2 linked regions of the Styela clava genome follow. The protein of the gene in region 1 purifies or fractionates together with the protein of each later gene. This does not show direct contact. Links are inferred from orthologs where the notes say so. Each region holds a gene or a part of one and is shown on either strand. Other genes may lie near its edges.

Region 1 (6,967 bases):
CTTGATGTGGTTGTTTCTCCTTCACCACATGATAGTTGGACTATAGACAAAACTTAGATTATTCTAATTATGGTTCTATTTATAATAATAGTGTATGAAGCACAGCGAAGCAAACAAGTACATTATCCACATAAAATATTTCACTGCTTTGTAAGAAAATAGGTATTCATAATTTACTCATCTTTCATTCTGTATTTAAATTTATTCTATAATTTCCAAATCTGATTAGCTACCCTGAATGTATTACTAATAAAGACACATTATATTCCTAAATATAGAAAAGCTATTATTACCTTTGGGTTAAAAGTATGGAAAACCCCTTCATAGGAACCACCATTTTTTACTTTAGCCTGGCATTTCTTTCCCTGGAATGAAACACAAAGGAGAATTAAACTAATTTTTTAAACTAATATTACAATGCTTACTCAACACATAATCATGATTGATTAAGTATGACCAGATATCAATCTGAAACCAAGGTTCTAGGAACTATGATTCATTATGTTTACCTACCACGAGAGACAGAAGAACATGAACCAGACGTGCATTTCCATATGCTCCTTCATATGGCTGAAAAATGGAATAGTCAAAATAGGAATAATGAATTTCTCACAAAGCAAATTAATAAATGTCACAGATTGGGTTTAAAAGACGAATTTATTTTAAGAATAATAGGAGGAATAACCATTTCACAATCTCAATATTTATTAGAAATTTCAAGTGTGGATATCGAAAATAAATACAAATTCTTCAAATTTAACCGCTCCACACCAATTAGGTATATCGATGAAAAATTGCTTTGCTGATATATGCACTGCATGGCATATGTTATATTTGATTTGGGTTTATTCCTCATAATACATTGCATTGGCACATGTAAGAATACTATTCAAATAGTAGTTTGATTCCCCTATTGCTGAAATATCATATTCATTAGAACTGAGTTTGTAAGAATTTCAGTTTCTTTTGGAAAACCAAGTTGAGTTTCTATATGAAGCTAATATAGAAGTGTCAGAAATTTATAAAAAGATCAATATGGAAAGGGAAGTTTAGAAAATAATTAGGATAATTCAGTAAATTATATTCATCTAGATTATTTGCATACCGGACTTTGATTCTGGCTAGAATTCTTCTTCGACCCCGGCCTGAAAAAAAAATAATGATAAATGTTCCCTACTTTAACCGAATAAATTTCCTTGCCTATTTTGGGTTATGTTTCAAACATCTCACGAAAGTATATCATATCTACAAATCTGACTTGAACAGCAAGGGAACAGAGTTACATCGATCAGTTTTGTAATGATTGATATAAAAACAAATGGAACTGCAGGAAGTAATAAAGAAATGCGACAAACGTAAAAGGTTGAGACAATAAATGTAACAGTGTTATTAAAAAGTGTGCGACATGGTAATAAGGTTGTAGTATGAAAGAAAATATCCTACTATAAAACACTGGGAACATTTGAATATTTAATGGGCTGGCATTTCACAAAAGTAAATTTACGAAGTCTATATGACAAATATAGGAAATGTTCAGGGCATCTCTACAGAGAACTGTTACAGAAATACATTTGTGTTAGGGTACAAAAAGAATTTAATAACTGATAAATTTATTTAAAATTAGAAAAAAAGCATATATAAAAGCGAGGGCAAACTCACCTCACATTCTTTGACTTTCTACCTTTGCTTGCTCCAGACATTTTGGATTTGAGAATTTATCGATGAACGATTAGTTGTCGTATCAGTTTCAGCATTGACATGAAATTATCATAAATACAAAGCTTGATTCAACACTTGGTTGCATAAAATCGCTTCATGAAAAATGTTATTTCACTATTTCACGAAACAGTGTATACATTTTCCGCAATTAAAAAGATGAAAATTGATCCGATGTACTTCTTTTAAGAACCAGATTCCAGAATTTTCATTTCAGGTTGATTTCAAACCTTCCTAGTTTTCTTTGCTTTGAATCATCAAAAAAATTTTGAACAATAAATTTGATAAGGCTATTATAGAATAGCAATTATTGGTCACTTTCAAATTTAGAAAGCCTGATTTGGCAATAAGGTAAATAACCTAAAAACAAAGTATGTTATAACTAATTTCAAAACAATATATTACGGACAAATTGGTTATTATTTACAGCGTAAACTTGAGAATTCCATACTACCGTAATCACTAACAAATTGCAATTTAAAAATTCCATTTTAGGTAAACTTGGATAAATTACAAAAAGGTTTAGCCAATAAGAAAAAATTTCAAAAATAGCCAATGAGGAAAATTTCAAATCAAGATTTTTTGCGAACTGGCAAGTACATCCAAAATTGTACCAAATGTGTAATTAGTTCATGCTGCCTCTCGCAATAATAGCAACTTGATAAAAATGCATAGCTGTTACAGCAGCGTTTTCCAACCAGGGAGATATTACAGAAAAATAACTTTGTATTCGGTGTAGCTTACTAATATTGTTTAGTCAAAAATTATTACTCAGTTATTGTTATAAATATTTATGCACACACTATAAAAATTCCAGCCATACGAAAGCTAGAGTGCAAGTTGCACACTCTCTGTGGTTGAAAATGGGGTGCTTTGAACTTATTTGATTTATATACCTAGTCAGTTATTTATTTTTGTTAATATTGCTGTCACTAGGTTATAATTTCTATAAAATTCCCATAAAAGATTCATGATACAAAAAATTCATTCATCAAAATATTTACTAGCATCGTTATGACGATCATATTCAACTACAATATAGAGCTGAGAGTATGACTCGAGATGCATCAAATTCTTCTGCACACTGCCTGACTGCAGAGTATGACTGAATGAGGTCAATTTTGAAGTCTCAACGCAGATAGATGTTCAAAGTTCTGAAATGCTAAACGTTCTATTCGAGGTTGAGTGTGAACAGTTGAACAATGAGCATATTTTTCACTTTTAAAAATAGCAAATTTTTTTGGAAAAATTTATACAATCCATAATGCTGTAATGTGAAAATCATTGCTAGTGCATGTTTTATACGTGAATGAACTGTACGGTACTGATTTATGCAACAGTATGACAGTGCTGTATCATACTGCTATACTGATATTTTCATAGGTGTAATATCAGAATATCTTGCCCGGTAGGGTACCGTACCGTACTGCACAATACTACAATAGGTCAGTTGGTACTGTGGTACGTTCTGACGTTACGGGTATATCTGTACTGTACAATCAGACAATGGTTTCTAACAGTTGAGGTTGCGTGAAACTAACTACCTTTCCTTGCTTTCTATGCGTTTGCGCAGGTGGATCCGTATGCGTATTATGCAAGGATGCTGTAGCAAGAGTGTAAATGGCTATTCTATTCAATTTAAGAGTCTTGCTGCACACGAACACACATATATTTCTGTAACAGTTGAGTCTGACCTCAGTCAGACGAAACGTTACATAAATATATTTGTGTTCGTGTGCAGCAAGACTCTTGAATTGAATAGTACAATGGTTTCGTTACCATACCGTATGCTGAATTGCTGGTACATCACATGCTGACATGCGTGACCCATTTATGCATTTAGAAAAACTGATACCGGTTTCGGTACGAGTACCGGTACGGTACCGTGATATTTTGACAACAATGTCCTAGCTAGCCTATAATGTATTGTTCATAAATCAGTCATCATGGATAGTCTACTTATTATTTCATTACTACCAAATGTTAAATATTCTGATAGTTTACTTGTACCGAAACGCATTGATGGCGCAGCCGAAACTGAAAACAAATTTATCAGACGCAACAACGTCTAAAATACGAAGCCGCGCGACATGTGATGCCAAAGTCTCCTTCATCATCGACGCAATGACGCAACATGGTTTTGCGCTTTTTATCGGTTTCCATGATCGCGGGCCTGTCTGATAGATCTGTCGCTTGATCTAACAAATTCACTTTGATATTCTGCCACAGAGATATTCATATCTGGTTCGATCATTACAATTTTGAAGTCCGATTTAAGCTGCTAATAACGATAGAGCACAAAGTTGCACCAATTGACGCTATTTATCAGACGCTTCCTGTGAAGATTTTGTGAGAATGATCAGTCAACGCACTTGCTTAGGGGTTGGAATAAGAATTTGAAACATTATCTTGAATTCTTAGGGCCCGTCCATTCACCACCATCTTTGTACCAACTAAACTCTACCAAAAGCGCAATTATGTTAGGAGAACAAAATCGAAATTTTACTTTAAAAAAAGCTGTTGCAGCACTGATTCGCGAAAATGGCCATAGAAGTGCCGCAATGGTAATTTATGGGAAGAATGTATATTTCCGCACCTAAATATGTCATTGACGTGACCAGTGGAACTTACAGTTTCTGCCAGAGCCATTACGATCGAAAGTCATAGCATCTGCCCCGACTAGTGGCAGGTGTCATTTACGCGAAAATCCCTGGACGAAATCTTACACGAATGCGAGGATCTCGAACTAGCGCGTCCTTTCAGACGCCGACCGTCGAGAAACATGCCATGCATGAACGGTCATCAAAAATCCACCCAAAGTCGTATTGTTACTGAAACCTAGTTTCACAAAAGTTCACTCTTACATGTCTTTAAACTTATGGTGAAAATATCCGTCATGGTCTGATAAAAAATTAATAGGTAAAAGTGTTCAGAACATTCCGTGTTCTATTTAACTAGCTGTAATATTTAACTCGCTATAATTCCATCTCAGGCACAAGCAGATTTCATAATTTTTTCAAGTATCATTGTATTGTTTATAAACAGAAGGTGATTGATATGAAAATACAAAGGATATAGCAGCTCTAAATAAAAAAATATATATCTAAAACACATTTTGGATGCAGTCGTCACTGAATCTAGTACAAAATATAAAAAACAGCATCCATTATTCACAAATGATAGCAATGTAGTATATAATCAACATGTTAACAACAACAAATTAAAAAAGGTATAAATTCACAAAAAAACATTCCTAGTTTGTTTATCAATGTGTTACTCAATGTTTTGGCAATAATTCGGAAAGAAAGATGTGCAAACTAAATTTCAAACGCAACACATATAAAAAAAAATTTCAATCAAAACACCTGAGAACTGAGACCGTAGCCAAAAAGTCAAAAATTTCATATTCAACTCAATCTGAATCATCTAGTATATTTTCAGTCATAACTACTAAATCCTTGAGCATCTCTGCAGTACAATCATTCACATTTTCAGTCGAATCGGTATTGCTCGAAGCTGGTTTAGCAGGAACTGATTGGGTTGCACTAGAAGTCGTACAAGGTTCAACCACTTTGCCAATACTAGTTCCATCAGTGCTTTTCAATTTAGGTTTATTTACCGATGTGTCAATGTCAAGTTTTCTTGCTTGTGCGCGAGCCTCTTTGAAGGTTGACGAAAGACCTTGCTGTCGTAATGTAGCCTGTAAATATTTAAAGAACATTTTAATTTTATTCAAAACTTTAACTTGTGTTAATTCATACTTTATACCAAAAGTCAGGTTCATTTTTTTGTGATTTTTTTTATGCCCGTTGACGCCGATGGGCAAAAACAAATCTTGCATATATAGAAATTCATCAAAATAACTACGAATATACTACCATATATTTGATAATTAGCTTGAAACCATGTGGTACAAACATGCCTAGCCCTGTAAAAAATTAATTAGCAGAATTGCTATAAAGCGAAAAAGTACAACTTGAAACGAATACCATTAGAAGATTATTATCCATTTTTAAACTTTTCACTCGAGTTTGCAATTTTTCAGTTTCTTGTCTGCATTCTTCAACAACTGCTTGTAAATTTTCAGCAGCTCTTTTCTTCTCTCGAACTGCATTTCTGTAAAGTAATTATACATGTAATGAAAAATAAAACAGAAACAGAGAAAGCACGAGAGCTTTGTGACTAAACAACTTGTTAAAAGTAAAATGCATATCTGAAGAGTAACGTTAAATCTCGGCCATCATCATCAGCCAGCTTCCAATCATTATATAGTTGAAGAGATAGAAAGATTGTAATTCAAGAAACAACATTTATGCTAACGAATAAATATATGCTATAATGCATAAAAACATTCCACAGTTTGGATATAGTTTGTTGGGGTCAGTTTGCAAGAACATGAAGATTATTGAGGCTCATGTCATGACCCGTTGTGTTTCACTATGCTTAAGCATTCATGTAACAGTAAATATGGTAATATAAAAAATATATATATAAATATGAAGTAATTTAACTATGTCGAAGTTAATATTCAATGATACATGTTTCATGCTTAGTTTCGAAAGTTATTTTATGAATCAAATGATATTTGTTAGATTATGATACAAGCAAATATATGATGATGAGAAACAATTACCGTTCACTTTGTCTTGAAGTGACAACAGTTCTAGCATGCTCCCTTTGTGATTCCTCGAGTCGTTTCTCCAACTCTCTTTTTTCTGCATCCCACGTTTTCCATGCTTCTTCCAATTTCTTTTCAATATCTGGAATACAGAATGATGTGGTTTGTAAACTTCCCAAAATTCGCTGTCTTCTTAAACTCAAAACATGGGAAGTCAGAATGTGGGTCTAAATTTGTGTCAGATTGAAGTTATGACAGATAATTTGCATATTGAATTATTTTCATAAATATTTACTTACCAAATATACATTTCACTATGATATTTTGAACTGTCATTTTAATACCTAATCTAATATATACAAACCTATAAAACATGAAAATTAAAGGGTATAAAATATGTCAGATTGTTAAAAAGAATTATCCGTAAAAAAGCACCTTCAGCACAATTCTCTTTAGCGGCTTTTTCACTATCTCTTGCATCAGAAGCTATTCGCTCATAATCCTTCAGTCTATCCTCCATCGATTCTATTTGAATTTTGCACTCTGCAATCTCCTGTTTTTGAACAAATGAAAATTCTTCATAATCTATAATAAATCTGTATAATATAGGGCATGGGGACATAGATTAGAAAA
Region 2 (6,911 bases), on another chromosome or scaffold:
TTACTTGATAAATTGAAAATGAGAATGGAACTACTGTATATCATATTCAAATTTGTAGGCTATATATTGTGACAATATGGATAAGATAATTTGTGAATTATTACCAGTAAAGAGCATGTGATATCGGTCAACGTAACAGAATATTCACAAACAAAAGCAGACATGAGGATTCTACTCAACCAAAACAGCAACCATTACAAACAGGCAAGTCATAGTTTTAATCCAGTAATACAAAATACTCATAATTACCATTAAGTACGGTACATTTAAAATTTTAAGACACAAATGCACAGATCTGTGGCTCGACAAAACTGTGTCAAAGTGTCACATTTATAGTCAAGGCAGAGCAGAGCCAAATGGCAAGGTTCTTATTGCCCACCCTTCGAGGTTAAATTCCTAATGACTACAAGAAGCTGCCCCCTAAACATATACTTTAGTCTGCAATTATTTTTTTGCATACTAAGAGACTCATTTTCGTTAATTTAAACTCGCAAATTTCCTTCAAAATTTCCAAAAGTATTCCTTGTTGATTTTGATTTTGAAGTTGAATGAAGCAATACAAAAAATATTTCCAACTGATAATTTGATGGAAATTTCTAAAAATTGTAAGATATTACTAACCTATTGGAAGGATAATATTATTTTTCAGTCAATATATTTAGCACCAATTTTTTTTTCGTATTTCTTTTGCAAATGCTTACTATATATACTCATTTCAGAATATAGAGTCTGAGTAAGATAAGGGTATATGAACATGTTTTTGATATGTATGCTCTATCACGAATGTATAGATGAGAATCATTCGAAAAATCATTACCTAATTCAACGATTGGTAGATGGAAAAAAAGGGTTCTAGAATATCAATTCATTCGAACATGGAATCCTAAGTGAAGACATCGATAAATATTCAAAAATCACTAGCTTTTAATATTATACTTAACAGTTGGCATTTTACATCCCACCATCAACAGCTCTAAGCACCATGGCTACAAAATAATATAATTAAAAAAGATTCATTTCTCAACTTTATGAATTATGAAATAGATCCTGCGTTCCACATCACAATGGCCTAAAATTTACATTTTGATACCTGACGCTGCAATTTTTCTCAGCAAATAACAATATTAAGACATGATACACACATAATATTTTGACACTAATCATCAAGTCCTAATCATAAAATCTAAAACAACAGATGGAAACAAATATGGGCGGAGTCAACTTTCCAACACAAAAATTGATAGCAAAACAAGACGTGAGAAGATATTTAACGATTTTGACAAAAATAACATGATTTGACCAATACTATTATTAGTAAAAAGTTTTCCGAACAATTTTTCCACAAAACGAAAACAGCTCGTATTTGGAATAAGTAAGATTCACCGAAATCCAAACTCTTTTTTAAAATTGTGACTATCGTCATGAATTATTTTTCAAAAACTTTTATTTGAATAAGTCTCCTCGTTAGGTTTTGGACATTCCGAAGTATATTAGGTCGAACAAAAGGTCACAACACAACGAATATTGCTAAAATGAGTGATTGATGCCACATTTACCATTCAAAATCAAGGCAATCTAAAATTCATAACCAGTGCCAATCATATAAATTGTTTTGGTTATTCCTAATATCTCGACATAAATCCAGATATTACATGCATTACAATGATGCTTGTAAAACAATAAAAAATTGGATGAAATTCCTTCAATTAAAATGTAAATAACATAATGTTATGATAAGTTTACAGCATATGTTTATATAATAATTTGGCATCAGTTTGAACATCACTTTTATGAATTGTAATTTTTCTTACTGATAAATTTAATATCAATATAATGTTGACAGTGAATAAAAGCCAAAACCATTAACCCTTAGTTACCATACAATTGTAAGTTTTCATATTAGGAATAGGTCAGTCAAATGCGATCTTTCCGCTGGTTTTCTCAGCTAACTACAATAGAGTGAATGCAGTTTCCATAAAAGTTGAGCACAATCACAATAGAGTTTTGATGTTCGAGACGCTATATATTCAATGAATATAATTATTTCCAAATTACATAAAATGGAGGAAATATCATTCAAACGACGAAACCATTGAAATATTTGACTTGTTTTTATAACACACTCAGTCTGGGACACATTTATTGATAAAAATTTTCTAATAAGGAATAAAATATTTTTTGTTGCTTATGAAGGCATTCAGGTTGCTTGAACCTGTCTTATGTTTCCGTGATCTTTGTGGTATTTTTCCACAATTTTTCTAACATGGTCCAGTGCTTTTGCTTCTTTACCATCTTTGGCAATACAATCTTCAGACCTATACGGTGGATTTATTAAAACTTCATCCATTACTAATATACTTTTATCATTCCACCTGCATTGCTCAATGGTTTTGAAAATAAACGCAAAGACTTTCAGTCCATCTGGGGTAACACCCATACTTGAACCTTGCGCCATGTTGACTTTTGCCTGAATTTCCTGATTGAGACGTTTTCTTAATTTTGTGTGGGATATAGCACACAATTCAAAATCTTGATCAGCCCCTTCCTTTAGAACCTTGATATCACTGACATTCGACAAATTCAACAATGAGATGTTGTTCGTATTTGCCTTTCCGCTTGTTGATGGATGCTTTAGAACCAATGTTTTCGTTTGGTAATCAAAAGCAATAACTTCACCCGTAATCTTCTCACCCAAATAAGTGACACACGACACTTCGCTGCCCATGCTGAAAAACTCGTTACTGGTCGCGTTGTTGGAAGCCATGTTTCCTGATTCGCGACCACCCAAACGTAAGGGTTACCTCCTCCAGACCACCACAATAGTCCTTTACAAAATAACAAGTATCATGGAGCCCTACTTTTTACGTTGGCCCACAACCTTTAAAATTTCAGCCAGGTTTTTATCTCTATTTCCGTTTTTCCAGTTCCGTCTCGGAATGTTGATCAACACATGGATGCGTCACCTCCAATACGCGAGCAACAGACCGATGGAAAATTGCGGTCGAATAGTGACATCTTGTGGGCATGTTGTCATTTCAATATAAAATATTTTCAGTTGTTATCGGATTAATTAACAATGTTATCGCAAAAATTACAGTGTAAAGAACAAAAGTCAAATATTACAAATTATAAAAGATTAGTTGCAGTTAATTCAAAACGGTATGAAGAACGCGATACTAGTCAAATTCTGTTCACATTATTAAAATTTGAGTATGCACAAAAGATTACCAAGCATAGCGTTATTTTATAGTTGTTTTACACTTCGCCTAAAAAATATCGTGGACAGGTTGTACTTAGCGATTGTGGCTGATTTCCATATGTCGAACGCAAACTTTCGTCCCCGACATAGAATAAGCCGAATAGGATTGCTTGATTCTTGTCGCTTTAATCAGAACACTAAATAAGTTAGCTATATGAAAACTTCACCGTTGGGTATAGAAATTGCACGCAGTTGGCACATTTGTCTGATATTTTTCTAACAATCCTATCCCCGTAGTAAATCACACACCTTTTATCAACCGAATTCGTCTCAATGCTGCCCTTCAGTGGCGTAAGTATCGATTCGCCTGCTGTGCTGTGCTCCGTGGTTCTTTGTAAGTTTTAAATAATGAAGTGTGATATACGAAACGCTATGTTATATCACTGCGACGACACCGCTCGATCGCCACAGCATCAGGATATAATGAAACCCAGTGTTTATTATCTTTGGTCTTGCTGTGAATTATAATAAGTATATTTTGAATAGATGAATCATATTTTGATATAGGCGAATTGCTGAATTGTGTGCTGGGGGCGTACGGCCAGCGGTCCGTACCGGGTACTGCTGTACCGGTACCGGTACCGGTACTGATCGAGTGATCGTACGGTGCGTTTAAGGATAGGATAGCATTTAGACTACATATTTATCCCGGGGGAAAGGAAAGTCGATAAGACGGCTTAATCATATGGCAGTATGGCGAACCACGGCCTCTCGTCCGGTTACCAGTTCAGGTTGGGGGTATCGTATGGGATTAGTTAGCCAGTTATTTTTTTTTTTTTTTAAAAACCGAACCTTGCTGCCTTGTGGATTTGATAATAATTTTAATACATATAATTTTTCTTATATACCGGTACGGTAATAATTTTTTTCGTATAACAGTATAGTATCATATCTGCGTATAGATGTGTCTTACAGTTCTGCAGTTACAGGGAATAAAAATAAATTCTAAAATAGGATGTGAGGATTTCATTGTTGTTCCTGTTTTGTTAGACTGTTAGAGATGAAATTTATAAACTTACTGATGTGAGCCTCTCGCTGTCTCAGTCCTGCAATCAGATTATAAAAAATGCGACGAACACGGTCAAACAGTGTTGCTGATATTGCAAAGCGTTCACTGCGCAGTACACACAATGAAGAATTTTGCGAGATTCCTACAGTATTTCGGGTTCGGTCTCCAAGAGCAGGTAGAAATGTATTTTTTGATATTTGTCATTTATTATTTGTTTCAAAATTTAATTTGCATTGTAAAACTCTGCGAATATTTATTTACACAACAAACCACACAAACTAATATTACTATATTATCTGTCTGCCAGTCTGTATTCAAATCTCCCATACATCATTGCTTGAATCTTATACAGACTGTTCTTTGATCTTTCAGCTCCTGATTCAAATTTCCCAGAGAAGTCGCCAACAAGACGAAGCTTACGATTGCAATCTGGAGAGGAGAATGAGTTGAAGGATGGCATAAAATATCGTAAAAGAAGGTTTCAAACTTCACCTGATGATAACAAAGTTATCACGAATGGGAGTAGAAGAACAAAATCAGATTTGAAGGAAGAATATGAAGCAAAACCTTTGAAAGTTTTGCGGAGTGAAGATGCAGGTAAGATTCTATTACTTGGTGTCTGTGTTTCTGGGTAATTTCCATATGTTATGTTTCACATACCCTATGACTGTATGGAAAAGTGTTGCAAGGTTAGCAGCCCCCGACACCACTGGCATCATGGGTATCGTATTTTACGGACCATGAGACGCACTTTGAATCTTTTTTTCTTTCAAAAATCTGTTGTGCGTCTTATAAGCAGGTGCACCTAATGTAAGGATCAGGTTGTGCTTCATGCTTTATTGCCACACTCAAAACCAATACCGGTATTTAAAAAACGTTGCAACTTCTACTCCGATGCGCCTTCTATGTGAATAAAATTCCAATGTAAGCAATTTATCGACAGTGCACCTTATGGTCCATAAAATACGGAAAATGGCTGGGTGAAGCTTCTATCTTAATTGGGTACTCTCGAAGTATGTGAACCAAAATTGCGGACACCTGAATGTAGTATGTGTACCAGATTAGGGTTAGGTCATAATTTTATTAAATTTTCCTTATTTTAGTTCTATTACAAGTTCGGGGACCAGCCAATTGACTCCCGTAGTATTTGTACCTGAAATTATGGCCTAACTCTAACATGGTACACATACTACGTTCCGGTGTCCGCTATCTTGGTTCACATACTTCGGGAGTACGCCTAATTGAATACTTTGTTGTAGCAGTGTATGATGTCATTTTTAGAATGTCTTCAACAAGACTCGAACGTATTTCTTCTAACTTATTGCTCTCTATTCGTACATGCTAATGTCACTCCACATGGCCTAGATTATTTGAATAAAATTATTTGTTATTTTCAATTAATTACTGATAAACTTTTCAGATGCTACAAATTCATTGCCAATTGAAAATGGGATGCATAGACGAACTCGTCAAAAGCATGAAACATCAGAAATTAATGGTACAAACCATTCCACTCCTATGAAGAAAGAGGACAAGTCACCTACAACTCCTAATTCATATTCATGTTCCAAATCATCTGCAAGTGAACTGTCATTAAGAAATTTTCAACATGACGAATATGCAAATTTTTCACCACGAAGGACTAGAAATTCACCACGGTGTTTGAGATCATCTCTATCAGATCATAGTTCCAATTGTATTACTCCTACGGAATCGTCTACAGACTTTCTTTCGAATCATAATTGCAATAATAAAATGAAACAAAAAGCATCGAGAGTTAATAAAGACAAAGACATGAAGGAGACGAAAGATTGTGAATGCCATTCCAATCTAAATAAAACTTTTCCTATTGCAAAAGACGAAACTTGTCAACATTGTGGTAAATTACAGTCATATAGCCCAAGAAAAAATGGCATAATAACAAACGGTTCAATGAATAAAAGTACTTTCGAAATTTCTCCTCGCAGTTTACGAAGTAGTGCAAATGCTGTAACAGCTTCTTCAGTATCGTCTATCAAATGTGCTGGATCCCCAATGGCAGCAGAAGAGGCTTCTGAGAAGGAAAACTCGAAGGTGCGATTTATTTCCATGTCATCTTTCATGGTATTACAGGTTGAATCGGAGAAAATCTCCAATTGCAGTTGCTGTGAATTAATGTTGCGTTTTAGCAGACTTCCAAGACAACCATTTGCCTGCTTCAATTTTATCAAAACCCAACCTCAGTACTTTAGCTCGCCGTATATTATCTAGTGCAATTTTATTTTTCTCTCTGACCTTGAAACATCTAGAATGCGAGAAGTTAATAGATTTTTTGGGGGAAATTAAAGCAATGGTTTATTGGCTACTGGGTGCAGAATTTTGTACATTTAAAGTGAAAGATGTACTGACTATCACTATAAAAAAAAGCAATAAAATAATTTTCGAGCCCCGGATGGCCTGCATTCTAGACTCTGTATCCCCATTTCCCATAAAGATATTTAAAATCGTTGTCTACAGACCCTCACAAAAATCTATTTAGTGTTTTCTCGAAATCAAATTTTTTTTTAGTCTTTTGAAAATAATTCCATCTCAAGTCATTTACGAGGAAATAGAAGAAAAGTTGAAAACGATGTTCAAAATATCACAGACGACAATATACTTGAT

What was found. Proteins that work in one complex are often made in the same cells at the same time.
Region 2: the proteins of uncharacterized protein LOC120343555 (region 1) and protein LSM12 homolog A-like purify together in Homo sapiens (affinity purification with mass spectrometry; 4 studies listed by BioGRID and IntAct, with this or other methods). This does not show direct contact. The link is inferred for Styela clava from reciprocal best matches to the Homo sapiens genes ATXN2 and LSM12.

The regions. Positions count from the first base shown.
Region 1 is NC_135252.1:15,480,363-15,487,329, reverse strand, and holds the start of uncharacterized protein LOC120343555, read right to left. Parts: upstream 3,020-6,967; 5' UTR 1,701-3,019; coding exon 1,660-1,700; intron 1,146-1,659; coding exon 1,106-1,145; intron 571-1,105; coding exon 514-570; intron 366-513; coding exon 294-365; intron 1-293. Other genes in the region: uncharacterized protein LOC120342220, read right to left, coding at 5,129-5,416, 5,706-5,832, 6,350-6,476, 6,770-6,887. UniProt on the Homo sapiens protein: Involved in EGFR trafficking, acting as negative regulator of endocytic EGFR internalization at the plasma membrane.
Region 2 is NC_135254.1:9,556,709-9,563,619, reverse strand, and holds the start of protein LSM12 homolog A-like, read right to left. Parts: upstream 3,001-6,911; 5' UTR 2,765-3,000; coding exon 2,198-2,764; 3' UTR 1-2,197. Other genes in the region: uncharacterized protein LOC120344576, read left to right, coding at 4,326-4,443, 4,641-4,865, 5,689-6,341, 6,816-6,911. UniProt on the Homo sapiens protein: Nicotinic acid adenine dinucleotide phosphate (NAADP) binding protein. Confers NAADP sensitivity to the two pore channel complex (TPCs) by acting as TPC accessory protein necessary for NAADP-evoked Ca(2+) release.